4 linked regions of the Sus scrofa genome follow. The protein of the gene in region 2 interacts with the protein of the main gene of each other region in a biochemical or structural test. Links are inferred from orthologs where the notes say so. Each region holds a gene or a part of one and is shown on either strand. Other genes may lie near its edges.

Region 1 (4,171 bases), on a different chromosome or scaffold from region 2:
GAAGGCACATTTTTTGTTTGTTCGTTTGTTTGTTTTTAGGGACTGCAGGTGAGGTATGTGAAAGTTCCCAGACTAGGGGTCTGATCAGAGCTGTCGCTGCTGGCCTTCACCACAGCCACAGAAACGCAGGATCTCAGCCGCATCTGTGACCTACACCACAGCTCACAGCAATGCTGGATCCTTAACCCACTGAGAAGGGCCAGGGATAGAACCCACATCCTCAGGGATACTAGGTGGGTTTGTTTCCACTGAGCCATGACGGGAACTCCCGACATACTAGGTTTTAGATGTAGTTGGCTTTAGTTTTACAAAAGTCCCTCTCATCCCTGCCATATAAAGGAGGTGTTCTTTCTATGTGATTCGCCTGTTTCCGCGAATGAAGGGGGTTGTGCGTGGGTTCCACGTGGTGTCCCTGTTCCCTTTCCACCCCCTAGAACCAAAGGCTGGGAAGTAAATCCTCCAAGAACAGAGATGTCTTTCCTTTTCTTCCCTTTTCTCCAGTGCCTGGACCAGTGCCTGGCACCTAGTGTGCCCTCAGTGAATGTGAGATGAATGAAAGAATGCATAGAAGAGTGAGCCACCAGGGGAAGGGTGCAGAGCAGAGCATTTGGGCCCTGTGGGACCTGCACCTGTCTGGGCCTGGAGATGGGACAGGGACACCCTTAGCTGCGTGGGGAGGCCCGGCCTTCTAGACAAAACCCCCTTCCCTCTGCCCTGCCCCACCTATTCTGCTCTAGCTACCCATTCGCCCCACCACCCTGGGGCCACTGTAACCAACCACCTGGCCCCAGAGGCGGGTCTCAGCCCAGCCTCACCCCTCCCAGCCATTGACCAGAAACAGCAGCAGCCTGCAGTGGATGGAGACATTCAGAGAAGCCAACGTGGAAAGGGCACACGGGAGGCATTCATTCAGCTCACCTGCTTGTCTTCTGTCCCCCTCTTCCGTTCCTCACCTTCTGGAAGAGTAAAAAGACCAGGCCAAAGCAGCAGGGCCACCTGGTCAAGTCATCCATGCCTCTGCCTCCACGCCAGCCCGACCCGACTCCACTCTCATGTCTGGGCCAGGCTGGACCCCCGCTGGGCCAGGCCCCAGGGAGGTAGCCTTTCAAGGGGAGAGAGGCCCGGGCTGCAGGCCGGGTGGGGGAGCTGCCCATAAATCAGGCCCCACTCCCACCCAGTCGCTAACAAGCGGGGCTGGCTACCCGCCTACGTGGGGTCCCTGCCTCTGGGCTCCCACAGCGGCCTGGAACAGCCAGCTGGCCAAGGCCTCCAGAGTGCCTTGGCCTCCGCCCCCACCCGCGGCCCCGAGATAGATAGGGGTATTTTTTTTTTTTTCTTTTAGGGGAAGAAAAAAAAAATAGACCCAAATGAAGAGAAACACCAACAAAGAAGGAGAGAGGCCTGCAGAGTCACGTGGGGGCAGAGACCAATTGGGCCTCCGGTGGCCCCCCCACCCAGGGCGGGGAGGAGGAGGAGGAGGACGGACGGACAGGGCCAGCCTACTGTCCGCCCGCCGCCCGCTGTGGCGTGAAGGAGTTCTTGTGTGCCCACGGTCGCCACTGCCCCACCTGGGCTGCTGGAGCTTCCCCTTGGAGCCCCCGGTGCCCACTGTCCACCACCATCCAGCGTGAGAGCTCGCCTTCCGCTCCGTAAGTGAGGGCCTTGGCCCAGGCCTCTAATGGCCAGCCTCCCTCCTCAGTGCCTCCCTGCGGCCTGGGCCGGCCACTGCCCGCTCTGCGGAGTGACTGGTGCCCGCTGCTCTGGGCAGGGAAGGGGCCAAAGATCTCCCCAGACCTGCCTTCCCTCCATGCTTGCCCCTCTTCTCTCCTGGGTGGCTGATGGGAGGAGCTAGGCCTATGAGGACAGGCCCCACGGGGGTCTGTGGGTGTCCTGCTGTCTATGGGTGGCCTGGAGTTCACAGGGCTGTGTTGACTCAAGCCTCTTCGTCTGTGAGTGTGTCCGTGGTCCCTGGGTCTGTCTGTGGGTCCCTGGGTCTCCCTGCCTGCAGGTCTGTGCTGTCTCTGTTGATGTCTCTGAGTCTCTGTGTGGATTCACGCGTCTGTCTCCAGTATCCATCTGTCAGTCCAGGTCCTGTGTCTGGGCTGGGACTGTGTTTGCTTCCCTGGGTAGGTGGGTGAGGGGCTGTGAATCCCCCACATGTTGAGCTGGAACCTGGGGCTAGGGGCTGGTGCCTTGAAGCCTGGAGGATCAACCCACGAGCTCCCAAACTGTGACGGTGGAACCTCTGGCAGAGGGGATCTAGGTGGAGAGACAAGGGGAGAACTGGCTCAGAGCCCAGTCCCCACCCCACCTAGGCCCCCAGCCCAGGCTTGGGCTTCCACTGCCTGGGTCTGCCTCACCAATGTCCAGGAGACCCCAGTGGGCTCCTTCCTAGAGAAGCTGATTGGGGATCCCCCAGCCCAGGCCCCTGCTTCCCTTCACTCTGCTGCCAGGTGGTGCTGCTCCTCTTTTCTACTTTCTGAGGGCCCTCCCTGAGGGGTTCAGAGGCAGTAGCCCCCACCCCCAGCTCAGTTACTCTTGTGCCTCAGGGGCTTGGTGGGGGATGGGGAGGGGTCGTGCAACTAACTCTCTTTCCTCCCTCCTCACCAAGACTGGTCCCTGGACTCGCAAGGAAACTCCCACTGGAACGCTTCTGTAGGGGCTGATCTTTTCCATTTTGTATATGGAGAAACCGAGGCTCAGAGAAACGAAGTGATCTGCCAGAGCTGGCATCGAGAGTCGGCCGCAGATTCTGCCCTCCATTCCGCCGCGTGAGGGAGATGAGAGTTGGTCTGTGCCGGGTCGTGGGGCCTCAGATCGCAGGACCAAGGCACCAGCTCCTAGCAAAGCTAGAGGCCCAAGGGGGAGGGAGTGGGGGTGGGCTGGGGTGGGGGCGATGCAGGGGCCCAGACGAAGCCAGCCGCAGCCAGGGTCCCAGCCTTCAGATCTGGGCCCCTCCGTCGGCTGCGTCGTTGCGAATACAAAATTGTGATATTTCCCGGCTTGTAGATGGCTTTTTGGCTTCGCTGTTCTCAGCACTCTCTAGGACCATAGATGCCCAACGGGGCAGGAGCAGGATCCGAGCAGGCGACCTCCCCCACCCTAGAGCAATGGTTCAGCTCCTCCCGGCTTGACCCCGGGAACCCCTTTTCCCCCGGGGGGCTGCAGAGCACTCACTTTCCTGCCTCCAGCTCCGGGTAAGAGCGTAGAACAGGAGAGAGGGCTTTCTCCTGCCCCTGGGCTCTGTTTTCCCAGCTCCCGCGCCCTTGGTGGCTTCGGGTCCTCACCAAACCTCAGAAAACCCGCAGGGTGGGATTACCACTACTCCCACTTCCAGCCAAGCAAACTGAAGCTCAAGGAGGAGAAAGAGTTTGCCCCAGCCCTCCCAAATAATTGGACGCTCTCGATCGTTCCGCCGTGCTAGGCATGTGCTCTTTCAACTCCACTTCGGTTCATCCGACCACCTTTAAAGAAGTCCAGTCATCCATCCCACTTTACGGATGAGGACACTGAGGACGAGGAAATTTGCTTCAGTTTCCAATGAGGAAATGTGCCTGGACCAGGCGAGAACCCACTTTCTAGCCTTGAACCCGTGCCTTGGCCACGGCCACCCACGCTTGCTCTACCTACTTCCACGCTGCAAACCGACCAGCGCCCGAGCGTGGTCCCGGCCACAACTAAGCTGGATTTGCAAACAGGGACTCGCCTCCTTTCACCGCAGGCGGGTGGCCCGAGGCTCCCAGACGCCCAGAACCTGCTCGGATTCCGGGGTGCTCGGATTCCGGGGCGCCCGGGCTCCGGGAGCCGGGCTGGGGATGAGGGGCCGAGAGGGTGAGGGTAACGGCGCGAACCCGGCTCGGTGGCGGCGGAGGGTGCGGGCCGGGCCTCAGCCCCGGGATACCGCACGCGCCCAGATAGAGGGGCCGGCCCCTGGCCCCGGCGCGGCGGGTTCCCGCAGCACACACTGGCGGCGGAGGGGCCAGGGTCCCAGGTGCATCTCCGAGCGGCCCTGGAGGCGGCGGGGGCGGGGAGGCGGGGTGGGGGAGCGCCGAGGCCCCGCGCCGCCAGGCCCGAGCCCCCGCCTCCCCGCCCCCGGCCCGAGCGGCCGTCATCGCGGGCGGGCGGCGCTGCGCCCGGGTGCGGCTCATCGCCGGCGGCGGCGCGGCAGGGC
Region 2 (4,147 bases):
CTGAAGCACTCTGTTCTCTGTAAAACTTTCCCTGAATTGCCTTACCCCACACCTGAACCCCAAGTAGAATTAAAGACTCTGTCCTGTGGCTATGACAGTATCTTGTCCAATATCTACCGGATGGCTACCGCTGGCACACACAGTGTGCCAGGGATAAGTGATGGAGGTACCCAAATGTGAACGAGAGGGATATGGCCCCTGGGGCTGTAGTACTTGAACTTAGAATGGTTAAACATCCTGTCACCAACTGGTGTGAACAATGCTCTAGCAGGACAGACTCAGGGAGCACATCATAAGCACGCCTCTCCCAGATGCCTTCTTTGTGGGGGATGAACATATTGAGCCCGAACTGTAAGTCTCTGAGCCCACAGGAACCCCAGGGTTTGTAAACCTACTTGTGTGTTTAAGTATATAAGCTCAAGGGTGTCTTTTTCACATCACGATTGGTTATATGAGAGTTGTCTTCACTACACAAATTACTGAATAGGCATTCTTATATTACATATATGCCCCAGTATCCTTGCAATGACTCTCTTAGCCAGGAAACTTAGGTATTGATTTTTTCAAAAAAAAAAAAAAAAAACAAAGAACAACAAAATAGCCCCAACACAATTAGAATGATTAAGTAAAAATGAATTCTGCAAAAGGTGTGCAATTTACTTAACACTAATGCACTACCAAAAAGAGTTCAGGATTTCAATGATTGGAGTTCTGTGAGGTTGAGAAGAGAGCTTAATAATGAGGTGAGCAGCTTTGTTAAGTCACCTAACATATTGCAGCAGACTTTTTTAACACTAGTGTTGGAGGGCAAGACCAAAACTTGATATAACCTGACTTAGGAAGTTGTTTATCTACCAACTGCAATCATCTAAAACTCTTGCTAAGAAGCAAAAAGAATATTTTCAGAGCAACAGTTGAGCGGTCCAAATGTGTCACAGAATCTATGCACTAAGGTTCATGTGCTTTACTCCTTGGTGAGCACATTAGTTCCTTCCAGGGAACCCACTCAGTTTTACTTTAGACTGTATTGTGACAAGTGAGGCTATCTGGATTCTCAGACCTCACCAGACTAGCAGCTGCCAATCAGAAGAGGAGGAGAATGTTGGAGGCAGGCATGCTGGCAAAAGAGAGAAAAGACACCAGATTGTCAGTTAGAGAAGGGGGAGAGAAACTACAACGGGCAGAGATAATCACTCAGTCCCAGTATCCCAGAGTCTTTCAGGGCAGAGACTGATGGCTTATATACCTCCTGGGAGCAGCCTTAACACCTTGGAAGAAGCCTGATAAAGAACAGGAACTGGACGTAGTTGCTAAATCCACTATAACCTACTATATAATAAACACTTTAAATAAAATTAACCCAGAATTTCGACAAAAAGCCAAACTGTTTTAGAAAACAGAAATATTTATAATACATAGAAAACATTTGTACAAGAGTTAAAACAAGTTTGACTTTTTTTATTTTTAAACAAGTTTGACTCCTTAAAGAGCCAAGCTCCAATTATGCTGATCATCACTTAATTGGAAGACTTGGCTTTGCATCAATCCTGGGTTAATGTTATGCTATAGAACAGCAGACTTTACCAAGTTGTCTTGAACAGATTTCAAACAGTGGTATATGCAAATAACAAACTATCATAAGAGGTCTAAACTGTATAAGAGGGCGACAGACTGCACAGTTGAATCAACCACCAGAGTGATGTAAAAGAATTGTTCTAAAATGCAGTATCACCATGGAGCAAAATAAACCTACCATGTACCCAGCACTGTGCTACGGGCTGGATTTAAGAATTAATTTGAAAAATTGCTTTCACTTTTCAGATTGTGAAGGTATTCCAGAACTCTCATTCATATTTGTAAAGGTTAAATGACATTTTAAATGCACAGCACAGCCATTACATAACAGGCATAGAATACTGTTTATGACTTGGATAGTTCTTTTTTTTAAGTGCACCAGCAACTCTATTTTCAAATGCTATGGAATTCACAAGGTTTCCTACATAGAAGAATGGAATGCCTCATCCACTCACTTGTTTTGTGTAATAAGTGTTTTAAAACAGGCATGCCATTTCGGAGTTTAAAGGGAGGCTAAGCTGCACTTTAGCGTTTCGGAGCAAGCAAAAACAATTTCAGCAACGGTACTCATTTCCCCCGGTAATTTTGTTTTTCATGGCGAGTTACTAAATGCTAGATGCTAGTAGTCAAAAAGAAACCTGACATCTGGGGAGGTGTTGAGGGGGTGTTAATAGTTCTAGTTAGATGTCTGGGGAGCGCTGAGGATAAGATTTTAAAACAGCAAATACAGGGAGAAAGGGGAAATTACGGTTTCGTATGACTCTCTCCTCCCTCCACTTTCTCTCTTCACCAATCCTTATCCCCCTCAATTTAGAGGCGGGTTCAGCGAGATCTGGCTGCAGGAAACCAAGAGGCTCCACCGCGCTGCCGCCCCAGCCTCGTGATGTAATTGTTATTTCTTATTCGGAGCTTGAACCAGGGAGAGCTGCTGAAGAAGTGGCAGCCCTGTGCCTTTTGCCTTGTCTGGTCGGGTCAGATTCTTCCCGGGGATGATGTAGATTCGCTGACGGACTCCGCTGGAGACTTCGCAGTGACAAAGCAGCTGAAGAAAAACCCTGCTCCTGGGTCCTCCGTCCGTCTGGGGAGCCGAACGGAGCACTCCTCAGGTCTCCTTCCCAGTTTTCCTCTGGGAGTCACTCCGCATTTAATCCCTGGGTGCCTCCTACGTGCTGGGCGTGGGGTCCAAGTGACCTGCAGTTAGTGCCCCTGTCCCCCAAGATTAAAGCAAGACACACAGATTACAAGGTGGTGGAAGTTGGGGGTGGCGAGAAGGGGCCAAGGGGACGCGTGTCCTGGGGTGAAATGGAAGGAGGGGGCTCCTGAGGCGTCAGCACCCAGGAGGGGACCCCGGGCGTTCGGGTCCCCGGGCTGTGCCCCCCAAGGCGAGCATTTGCCCTGTGGAATGAGCTCGATGCCCCGGGCCCCTGGGACGAGCTGTCCCGGCGCCTTCGGCGGTGGGGGCGGCTGGACAGAGCCGGGAGCCGCGGGGGACTGCGCGAGCGCGTGGAGCAGCTACCTCTCCCCGCCACCGCGATCCTCCCGCAGCCGCGGGTCCCCGCAGCCCCCGCCCGACAGTCCGAAGGGCGGGCTAGGAGGAAAACAGCCAACCGAGGGGGGCTCCTCGGCTCCCGCGTGCTGCCGGGACCCGGGCTCCTGCCTCCCGCCCCGGCCACAATGGGAAAGAGGGGGAGAAAAGGGTTAAGAAACTTGGCTGAAGAGCTGAATGGCGTGGAGCGGCGAGGGGAGGGACTGGGCCGCGGCGGACTCGGCGGCGGAGGGAGGAGCGCGGCTGCGGGCGGGCGGCGAGCGAGGCGCTCAAAGTCAGCCTCGCAGACATTGCAGCAGAGCCCCGAACTCGGGAGGCGGCGGCGGCCGTGGCGGCGGAGGAGGAGGAGGAGGAGGAGAAGGCGGCCGAGGCGGAGGGACGATCCGGCCCCACGCCCGCGCGCCAGCCAGTGGCCTCGCGTCTGCTGCTGCGCTCAGCAGCGCTGCTGGTCGGAGGAAAGAGCTCGCCGGGGCGCCGGGGGAGGACCGGGCGGCGGGGCGCCTAGGCGGAGTGAGCTTGCCGGAGCCCGGGGCTTGGAGCCGCGGCGGCCTCGGGTGAGTGGCGGCCGCGGCCGGGGGGCTCAGAGGAGCGGCCGCTGGCGCCGCCGGAAACGACCCGGGAGCGCGGCCCGCGGCGGCGGCGGCGGCGTTGGCAGGCAGGGCCGCGGGGGCGTCGGGGCGTCGGGCCGGGGCTGCCTGCTGCGGGAACGGACGCGGACAGCACGGTGGGCTCGGCGGCCGGGCGATGTGTGGGGGTGGTTTCCGGGGAAATCCTGCCTCTCCTGCGGTGTTCGAATCTCCCCGGGAACTCGGGGGGCCCGGGCAGCGGGGCCGCAAGTTGGGGAGTTGGCTCCGGGCTCACTGGCGGGTCCGTGCGGGTCCTGGGCCGTGGGGCGGCCGCCTGGTGGCCCCGGAGCCGGGCCGGATACTGGGGGTCCGGGCCAGGGTCGTGCCCTGCTCGGCTGCTCTCTCGGCCCGGAGCCCTTCTCGCCTTGCAGCTCTGGGTCTCGCCGCCCCGGGCGTTCTG
Region 3 (4,059 bases), on a different chromosome or scaffold from region 2:
TGATAAGTACTGAAGAAAATTAAAGTTTCCTAAAAGAGTCCAATGAATTCTTTTCTTTTTTACCAAAAGTTATTCAAACAGCAAAACTGAGAGGGGAAAAAATATGAAGTAACATCTCTCCATTTGAAATAACTTATTTTATAGATCCTTCCCCTCTTTCTTGGGTAATAAGAGGCGGAATTCAAAGAAAGAAAAGAAAAGAAAAGAAAAGAAAGGAAGGATGGATGTTATGGGAAATAAACTACAAAGGAGAATGATCATTCTAAAACTGAATTTCCACACAGAATCCAATGTGGGTGAGTTGAAAGTTCCATATCACTTTTTTATTATTCTAAAAATATCTGAATATCATCGAATGCAGAAAGTTTAAGATGGGCATGTTATAGTGATATTATTTGCCACCAGGATGCTGAACAATTTTGAATAAAATGTGATTCCCCTCTTTATTTGACCATGTTCACTTTGTAATTATTAGCAGGGCAGTAAATAATCCACTGAGAAGCAGTCTCATTAGTGTCCATTGAAATTCAGTGGCATTAATTTGCAAGAAAAGAACTGAAAATTAAATGGAAAAGAAAACTGTTTCTGGAGTCTACCATAAGGTTATGGAATTCACGTCCTATCAGTGCCTTCCTTCACATCAAGGAGTTTAAAATGTTGTGTGAATTAGATTTAATTGTCATATTTGATTCTAACACTTAAAAAAAGCGGGCAGAATAAATTCTTTTTCTCTTTCCATTTTAACCCTGCAGAAAACAAGTTAAAATGATTCGATAGAGGCCAACTTTTTAAAGTTTTGTTCATTGTTTGTGTTTTAAGTAATAACTCAGGATGGACCTGCTTGGCTGTGTGACATTCTAAGGTCCTCTGAGGGGGCTGAAGGATGTGGCAGATGTTCAGATACCCCCAGCGGCTGCCTCCAGAATTCTCTAGGGCCACGATGCACCTTCCTCCCGTTTCTTCTGCTATAAATATCTCTGGAAATAGATGCTGAATAGAAAAACGGCCCACAGCTTGCAATACAGAAGGGTCTGGGTGAGGGTGGAGGGCACGTCCACACACCAGCAGTGTCCAGCCAGGCAGTGCCTAACCCAGCATCCAGCCACCAGGGTGCTGGGAGGCCTCCCAACCCCACCCAGGCTATCCCTGTCCAGCAGCACCTAGGGTGCAGGTACCCACCAGGACCCCCTGCCTAAACCCTCTGCAAAGTCCATCAGGAAGAGAAGGGAGAAACTGTCAAAGGGAAAATGGGAGGAAGAGGAGCAAAGGAAAGTATAGGGTCTACTAGGGGGAAAAAAATAGGACAAAAAACACTTGCCTCTTAAGTCACAAAAGTGTTCCTGTCTATCCTGAACGACTAACTATCTGTTGCTTCTCCTGAGAATGAAAGGCACAGAACTGGGCTGAACCCATACACACCACTCCCAGGGCATTCTCAGCCCCGCAGGCCAGAAATGAAACTTAGCTGGCAGGGAAGTATTTCAAAACACTCGTGCTTCGATGTGGCATGTTTTTAACTCACAGGACAGTTATAAATCTCCGGCTGTCAGAAGTCTTCTGCCAGCAAGCTGCTCTGACACGGACTCCGCCAGATAACTCAGAAATCAGAAACTCCTTGAGACCCATTCAACCCTTGCTCATCTGAGCAGCGCTCGGTCAGTCCTACAGCCTCCCTCGGAGGTGGGACAGGGAGGACAAGCAAAGGGCTGCTAGGAACCGCTTCCCAAGGAAATGAGCACCCCCTCATCACCATCACCAGCTCACCAGCGGCACAGCGTGCACATAGCCAATCCGAAATTCTAGGTGAAAGGAAATTTTGCAAGCACGTTAAAACAAATTTGTAAAATAATAAGACTATGTAAAAAAGAAAACTCTGAGCTCCGCCTGCCCCAACACCTACAGCCAAAGCGGGACCTTTTCTAGGGACTCAAAGCACCTTGTGCTTATTTGGTCTGGGGCGTTTCTCCCCACAAATAACCTCTGCTTTGCACGGTTTTCTAATACTGGTTTAGTTGGAAAGCACACGGGGTTTCGGACCTGCTTCTCACGCAGACAGTAGGCGGGGTGGAGAGTAGAAATTTTTTTTTTTTTTTTTTTTTTTTTTAAGCTGCCAGGCCGGAGAACTTGACTCTCGAACGCGAGATCCACCCGTGACCCTGGGCCGGGTCGCGCCCTAGCCCTCGGGTCGCGCGTCCGCGGCGCCGGCGGCGGCCGGGCTGCCGGGTGCCCAGCCCCGCGGCCTGCGGGCCCCGCGAGCTCCCGGCGGCGCGGCCCCTCGCCCCCCGCTCCCTCCCGCCGCCGGGTGCGCGGCGGCCACCCCGACGTGGCGCGGCGGGCGGCGCGGGTACCTGTAGAAGGCGGGAGGGCCGGCCTCGCGCACCGCATAGCCGCTCGGCTCATTCTCCAGGTAATAGGGCACCTGTTGGCCGTGGGGGTGCAGGAAGGGCGAGAGCTGCGGCGGCGGGTGCAGCAGCACCAGCGGGCTCGGAGACACGCTGTTGAGCGGCTGGAAGCCCCCCAAGCCGTTGGCGCCGAACGCCGCCGCCTCCGACCCCGGGCCGTAGGCGAGGCCCGACTGGCCGTAGACGGGCGCGGAGGCGGCGGCCGCGGCGTTGAAGTCGTACGCGGCGCCCTCGGGGTAGTTATACACGGCGGGCTTGCTGCTGTCCACGTACACCTCGCCCAGGGGCCGCTCCAGGGGGATCTTGAGCTGCGGGCGGTTCAGGGGCTCCAGCTCGTTGGCTTGGATCTGGTGCAGCAGGGCCATGCCGGACGCTTTGGTGTGTAGGGTCATGGTCATGGTCAGTGGCCGCGGGCAAGGCGCAAACCGTTTCCCCCCGCGGCGGAGGGCTCAGCAGCCGGCCGGCCACCTGGAAGAAGAGCACAGCCCGCGGTTAGAGGCGGCGCGGCGCATGTCCCGCCGCGACGCGAGCTCTGGCCCTGCCCCGGGAGCCGGCCCGTCCCGGGGAGCGGGGCGGCCGGACGCGAGCAAGTGCAGCCCGGCGCGAGCGCGCTCCGCCAACTCCCGGGCCCGGGTCTCCAACTTTAAGTACCGGTCTCCCGAGCTCATATGCATTACAAAGGTGCTGGAAGCCGGCCAGGGGGCTGTTGCCTTGCCCTGACGTTGGCTTAAACATCACTCCAGGCGCAACTCGTTCTGGAGCGATCCCAAAGAGCAGCTTCCCTGAACTTTACTTTACTTGTCGCTGCTGGATAGAGGCTGCATTTCACTGCAGGAGGGCGGAGGCGCAGAGGGATCTCCTAAAGGTGGTCCGGAGATGACGGGGTTTAAAACAAACTCGGAAGACTAATCCAGGGGCCGGCTCTCTCGAACGTGCTACCTTATGTGCCCCGTGCCAGGCTCCAATCTATCTCTGTTTGTCTCTCTCTCTGTTGGATTCACGCTCCTCGTTGGCTGGAAATACGGAGTGTGTACAGAGAATGACCCTGGGGAGGACCACTCTGTAACCGAGATATGGCAGATAGAATGGGGTGTGCGGGTGCATAGGCAGACGGCTATATTTAGCAGCTCGGGGGACAGATAAGAGGCATCTGGGGGAAAGGGGGCGGAGACTCAAGGTGTACTATAGAAAGAGCTGCGTTTTGCAGTCAGGGGAGTGCTGCCCAGCTCAGTTCTCCTCATCTGCAAAATTCTCCCAAAGTCATCCCCTCCAGCCAAGACTATCTGAGATTCCCCCAGCCCGACTTGTCTGTTTGTCTTTGGCCGCAGTACTGTACTTGCTCCCATCAGGAATTCTAATGTGAATGACGATTTACAGAAACCTCCCGTTAGGCGGACATGGGTATTCATGCCTTCCACAGATTATGCAACCAAAACTTCAGAAAACTGAATATGAAATGTGACCTTTCCAGAAAAAAAGCATAACCTCGGCTCATTAACCAAATCTACACTGTTGGTCTCACCAAACACATTTTGAAATGCAATGATACATGTCTGTTCTTTTATCCTACAATTGGACCTTCTTGGTTCACTTGGACTAGGATAAGCAGAATCAAATATTCAGATTGGAAAAGAAATAGTAAAAAGTTCTGAACTGA
Region 4 (4,221 bases), on a different chromosome or scaffold from region 2:
GCGCCTCGCATCTCCCCTCTCATCCCAGACACATCCTTCCCAAGCTCTCTCAGAGGCTCTTCCCACGGGACACAGGAATTGCGGGTGCACGCCCAGGCCCCGGAAGAGCCCTGGCCTGGTTTGCTGGGGTTCAGGGTGGGGAGGAAGAGCACACGCAGCCAGGCTCACCTGACATGCTGGTTTTCAGGGAACATTGGCCGTTCTTTCTTTTTCGCTTTCCATCTGGTGACCTGGCACTGGATGGGGGCAAAGTGGGCAGAATCAGAGAGCAGTCCTTGGGCAGCCCCCTTCTCATTCAACAGGCTGAGGTCTTCCCCCAGGCCCGACTCCCTCCAGCTCGGGTCCTCGTTCTACCTCCCACCCCCAGGTCAGCTGACAAAACTGGAAAAGGTCTGGCTATCTAGAAGCTTTGGGTGAGAGATAAGGGGCTCGGCTGGGGCACAAGCATGATCTAGGGCCCCCACCTATATACACACATGAGCACGCGCTACAGGACCTTCGGCGCCCATCGTCTCTAAGATAGCCACCTATTTAAGCTTTCAGTACATGACACACAAGCAGAAAGAATCTTCAGGACGGGCTTAAAGCGATGCAAGCTTTCGAATACACACGTACATCTGCACCGTAAGACTAGCGCATATGAAGAGCTACGCCGCCTGCCGTTTAAACCCAAGCACAGTTAAATAAGCAGCAGGCTCTACCATCTCTATCTATGCGACTTTCAGGGCTTTCTCAAATGTGTTATATGACCTCTAGGGTATGCCCACGTGTTACACAACCCTCCGGACAGGCACCTAATAATACCATGCCCCTCCCCCCGCCAGTGAACATGTCGCTTGATTTTCAGGTCACAGCCACAGTGGCCCACTAGAACCTAAACCAAGTATAATATGGGAAAAGGAGGGGACTTCCACGGCCACTCTGTCCACGGCCTCCATTTAACAGAGCAGTAAACCCAGGCCCCACTGGTGCCTGGTGACACTGTGTGCTAGAGTCAGAGCCGCGACAAGGACCCCAAGCCTCGCCAAATAAGGAGTTAGCAACCCCCCAGCCCCTGCACACATATGTCGCCAGCCTCCCCACATACGTGTTACATAACCTTGGCACACACAGGTTACATAAGCCTTCTACATGCACACACGGATTGTATAACCTCCCGCCCCCACCCTGTGTGTGGCATGTTGCAGGGCCCTACCCCCGACTCCCCAGCCTGATGCAGCTCCCAGCACACTGACACAGTGACCTTGGCCAGGGTCACAGTCACAGGGAGCTCTGTGCTCTACATCCCCTGGGGATTACCCGGTCTGGTTTCTACACCGGTTGGAGAATCACATCTCCCCCTCCTGCCTCCGGAGGGGGGTGGGTGTAGGGGACCTCCCCCAGCCCAGTTGAGCTGCGGGTCTTTAGCAATTAGCTAGACGCAAAGCCTCTGGGTGCAGTCCCAGAGACAGCCACAAGGTGGCGCGGGGACATGGGGGAGGGGAGGCTGACGGGGAGGGGCTGCAGTCCTGGGGGACAGGAACTAAGCATTCCCGCCTTTCTCTGAATTAGGAGCCGACCCTCCCAGACCCATGGAAGTGTGGGCGGGAAAGAACAGGGGCTGCAAGTGACAGCTTCACGATGACAGGCCAAATCTTTTTTCAGAGCCCCCCTGGGGTGAGGCTTGGGGAGGGGGGGATACCCCCATTGCCCTACCCAACTGCCAGCCCCATCCACTTCCTCCACCCCTCCAGGGACCCAATCTTGGGCCCCAGGGCTTTGCCTGGCCAGGCCTCCGGCCTCCTGGCTCAGGATCTGGTCTCCTAGGCAACGGCCACACTGCTCCCCAGAGCACCCCTCCCCCACCCTCTCCCTGGCCATAGGCACAGGCTGTACCCAGCTCCCAAGGCACCACGCCAACTGAGACCGAGCTCTGTGCCACTTGGAACTGATGGGAGAGGCAGAGACCCTCTGGACGCCCGAAGCGCAATGCGGATCATAGGGAACCCATCCCCAGCTGTGTGTGCAGGGCTGATGCTTCCTCCACGTGGGAGCAAATCTTCAGAGCTGGCATTCACTTCCACTTCCTGGGAGGAGCCCCATGGCATTGCCCGCCCTTGCCCATGAACAAGGAAGAGCTTGTGAGGCTCCCAATATGTTCCAAATATAAGCGTGAGTTGTGATCAACAGTTACTGGTGCATGGTGCCCTGAAATGCCATGTCACACGCACCATGGCTTCTGGACCTCACACTAGTGGTCAGACGTGAAGAGGCTGGGAGGGAGAGGAGGAAAATGGCCAGGCTGTTTGGATTCCACATGCTCAGGTGAGGGTGGCTGAGGGGAAGCTGGGGGGCATTGGAGACTCCGAGCACTGACAAGGGAGGGGCCGCATGCCTGCTGCCTGTAATTACTCTGTGCTGCACGCCCTCCCCCTTTCAAAACGGGCATCTCTCCCTCCAGGTGCCTAATTCCCAGCCACATGGGAACATGACCTCATCTCCTGGGCAAAGGTAGGCAGCAGGCTTGCCGGCCTCAGGCCCATCCCCCCAGGGGTGCTAAAAGGCCCAAGCTCAGTGCTCTCTGGCCCAGCCCAGCGACTGCTGCACGACACCTAGTTGCCGGACCCATTACCTGTTCTCCTCTGGGTCTGACCCACACTCCACCTTGCTTGGCTTCTGTTCCATTCACTTCAATTCCATCCAGGATGCCCTCCAGCACGCCAAGAGACTGGGGTGGGCACACTGGCCCCCCCGGCACACCCACAGGCCACCCACCCCCCGCCACCCAGGCCCTAGGGCACAGCACCCATGGTGCCCGCCTCAGCACTTGGCCTTTCACACCATGCCCTGCACCCCAAGGGGGGAGCGGGCGGTGAGAAGGGGGCCAGGGAGTGGCAGGTGGTAGGGCTGGGGGGCAAGCTGAGTCTGTGGGGGGGGTCCTGGGCTGGGGGAGTAGCTTCGGAATCTTGTCCTGTCCGGAGGTCCCTGCAGAGAGAGGAGAGAGGCAGGGATAAGGCGGCGCCGTGGTGGGAGGAGGTGAATAGGATTCCTTCGGCGCCAACATTTTGGGCTCTTGGGGCTTATCACGAGATGGTGGTAGGCATGGAGGGAGGGCAGGCATCGGGAGAGGACCGGGAAGCCCTTCGGCTCGACAGACAGCAGGCAAGGCTGGAGATTCACATCCCGGTCCCCAGACATGGAAAGGGATGGAGGGAAAGAATGAGGTAATCCACGTAGCACGTCTCAAGCCTCACAGTCAAGCAAGGGCCTGGCCCCTTCATACGCGTCTATTACACATCAGCCCTTGTTACCACCCCTCAGCCAAGGTGTCGTTAGTATCACAGGGAAAGAAGTGACCAGAGATGGAGTTCCCTCCGTGGCTCAGCAGTTAACGATCCCGGCTGGGATCCATGAGGAGGCGGGTTCGATCCCTGGCCTCACTCAGTGGGTTAAGGACCCGGTGTTGCCGTGAGCTGTGGTGCAGGTCGCAGACGCGGCTCAGATCCCGTGTTGCCGTGGCTCTGGTGGAGGCCGGCAGCTGGAGCTCCGATTGGACCCCTCGCCTGGGAACCTCCATGTGCTGAGAGTGTGGCCCTTAAAAAAAAAAAGAAGAAGAAGAAGTGACCAGAGATGAGCAGCTTTCATTCAGCCCAGGCATGGGGGGGGTCCCGGTGAAGGAAGTGTGAGCGCCCACCTGAGGGCCTCAATGGAGAGGGATGCTGAAAAGAGCAGCCAGCCGACCTCCCCTGCTGCTGGCCGACTTAGGCCTCTCCAACCCCGGCCCCCCAAGGAGCTTCCCATACAAGGTCCCAAGTCACACTTCCCAGTCTGAGGACCAGACTTCCCAGTTGGTTTAGCTGAGCTGCCACCCACTGGGATGGACAGGGAGGGCGAGAGGAAACCAACAGGCATTAAGGGAATAGAGAGTATATGTCCACCCAGGTGGGCATCAGAACTTCGCAGGTGAGAAAAAGAAGCCTCGGAAAGCTTGCCCGTTCACTCAAGTTCACACAGCTTGCAAACAGCCTGCCGCCAATGCTAGCTTTGTTCTGCCAGCTGGGGTCCAGGGCACCGCCCACCTGGGCCGACCATTCCCTCCAGGTTTGCACCTCTGACCCTAGGCTACACACCTGAGGCTCGGTGACTGCCCACCCAGGCAGGTGTGGGCACGTGAGAGGGGCCAAGAGGCGCAGCTCCCCACACACAACCTCCCTCCTGTGGCTGCTTCCCCAGAGACCTTGC

What was found.
Region 1: the proteins of NRIP1 (region 2) and NR5A1 form a complex in vitro, tested with the Homo sapiens proteins (2 studies listed by BioGRID). The link is inferred for Sus scrofa from reciprocal best matches to the Homo sapiens genes NRIP1 and NR5A1.
Region 3: the proteins of NRIP1 (region 2) and ESR1 form a complex in vitro, tested with the Homo sapiens proteins (4 studies listed by BioGRID, with this or other methods). The link is inferred for Sus scrofa from reciprocal best matches to the Homo sapiens genes NRIP1 and ESR1.
Region 4: the proteins of NRIP1 (region 2) and THRA form a complex in vitro, tested with the Homo sapiens proteins (4 studies listed by BioGRID). The link is inferred for Sus scrofa from reciprocal best matches to the Homo sapiens genes NRIP1 and THRA.

What each region holds. Positions count from the first base shown.
Region 1 is NC_010443.5:265,308,748-265,312,918, reverse strand, and holds the start of NR5A1 (steroidogenic factor 1), read left to right. Parts: upstream 1-1,371; 5' UTR 1,372-1,649; intron 1,650-4,171. UniProt on the Homo sapiens protein: Transcriptional activator. Essential for sexual differentiation and formation of the primary steroidogenic tissues. Binds to the Ad4 site found in the promoter region of steroidogenic P450 genes such as CYP11A, CYP11B and CYP21B.
Region 2 is NC_010455.5:179,913,418-179,917,564, reverse strand, and holds the start of NRIP1 (nuclear receptor-interacting protein 1), read left to right. Parts: upstream 1-1,338; 5' UTR 1,339-2,681; intron 2,682-3,346; exon of another isoform or gene 3,347-3,675; intron 3,676-4,147. UniProt on the Homo sapiens protein: Modulates transcriptional activation by steroid receptors such as NR3C1, NR3C2 and ESR1. Also modulates transcriptional repression by nuclear hormone receptors.
Region 3 is NC_010443.5:14,488,366-14,492,424, forward strand, and holds the start of ESR1 (estrogen receptor), read right to left. Parts: upstream 2,801-4,059; coding exon 2,349-2,800; intron 1-2,348.
Region 4 is NC_010454.4:22,282,361-22,286,581, forward strand, and holds the start of THRA (thyroid hormone receptor alpha), read right to left. Parts: upstream 2,801-4,221; 5' UTR 2,665-2,800; coding exon 2,612-2,664; intron 237-2,611; coding exon 169-236; intron 1-168.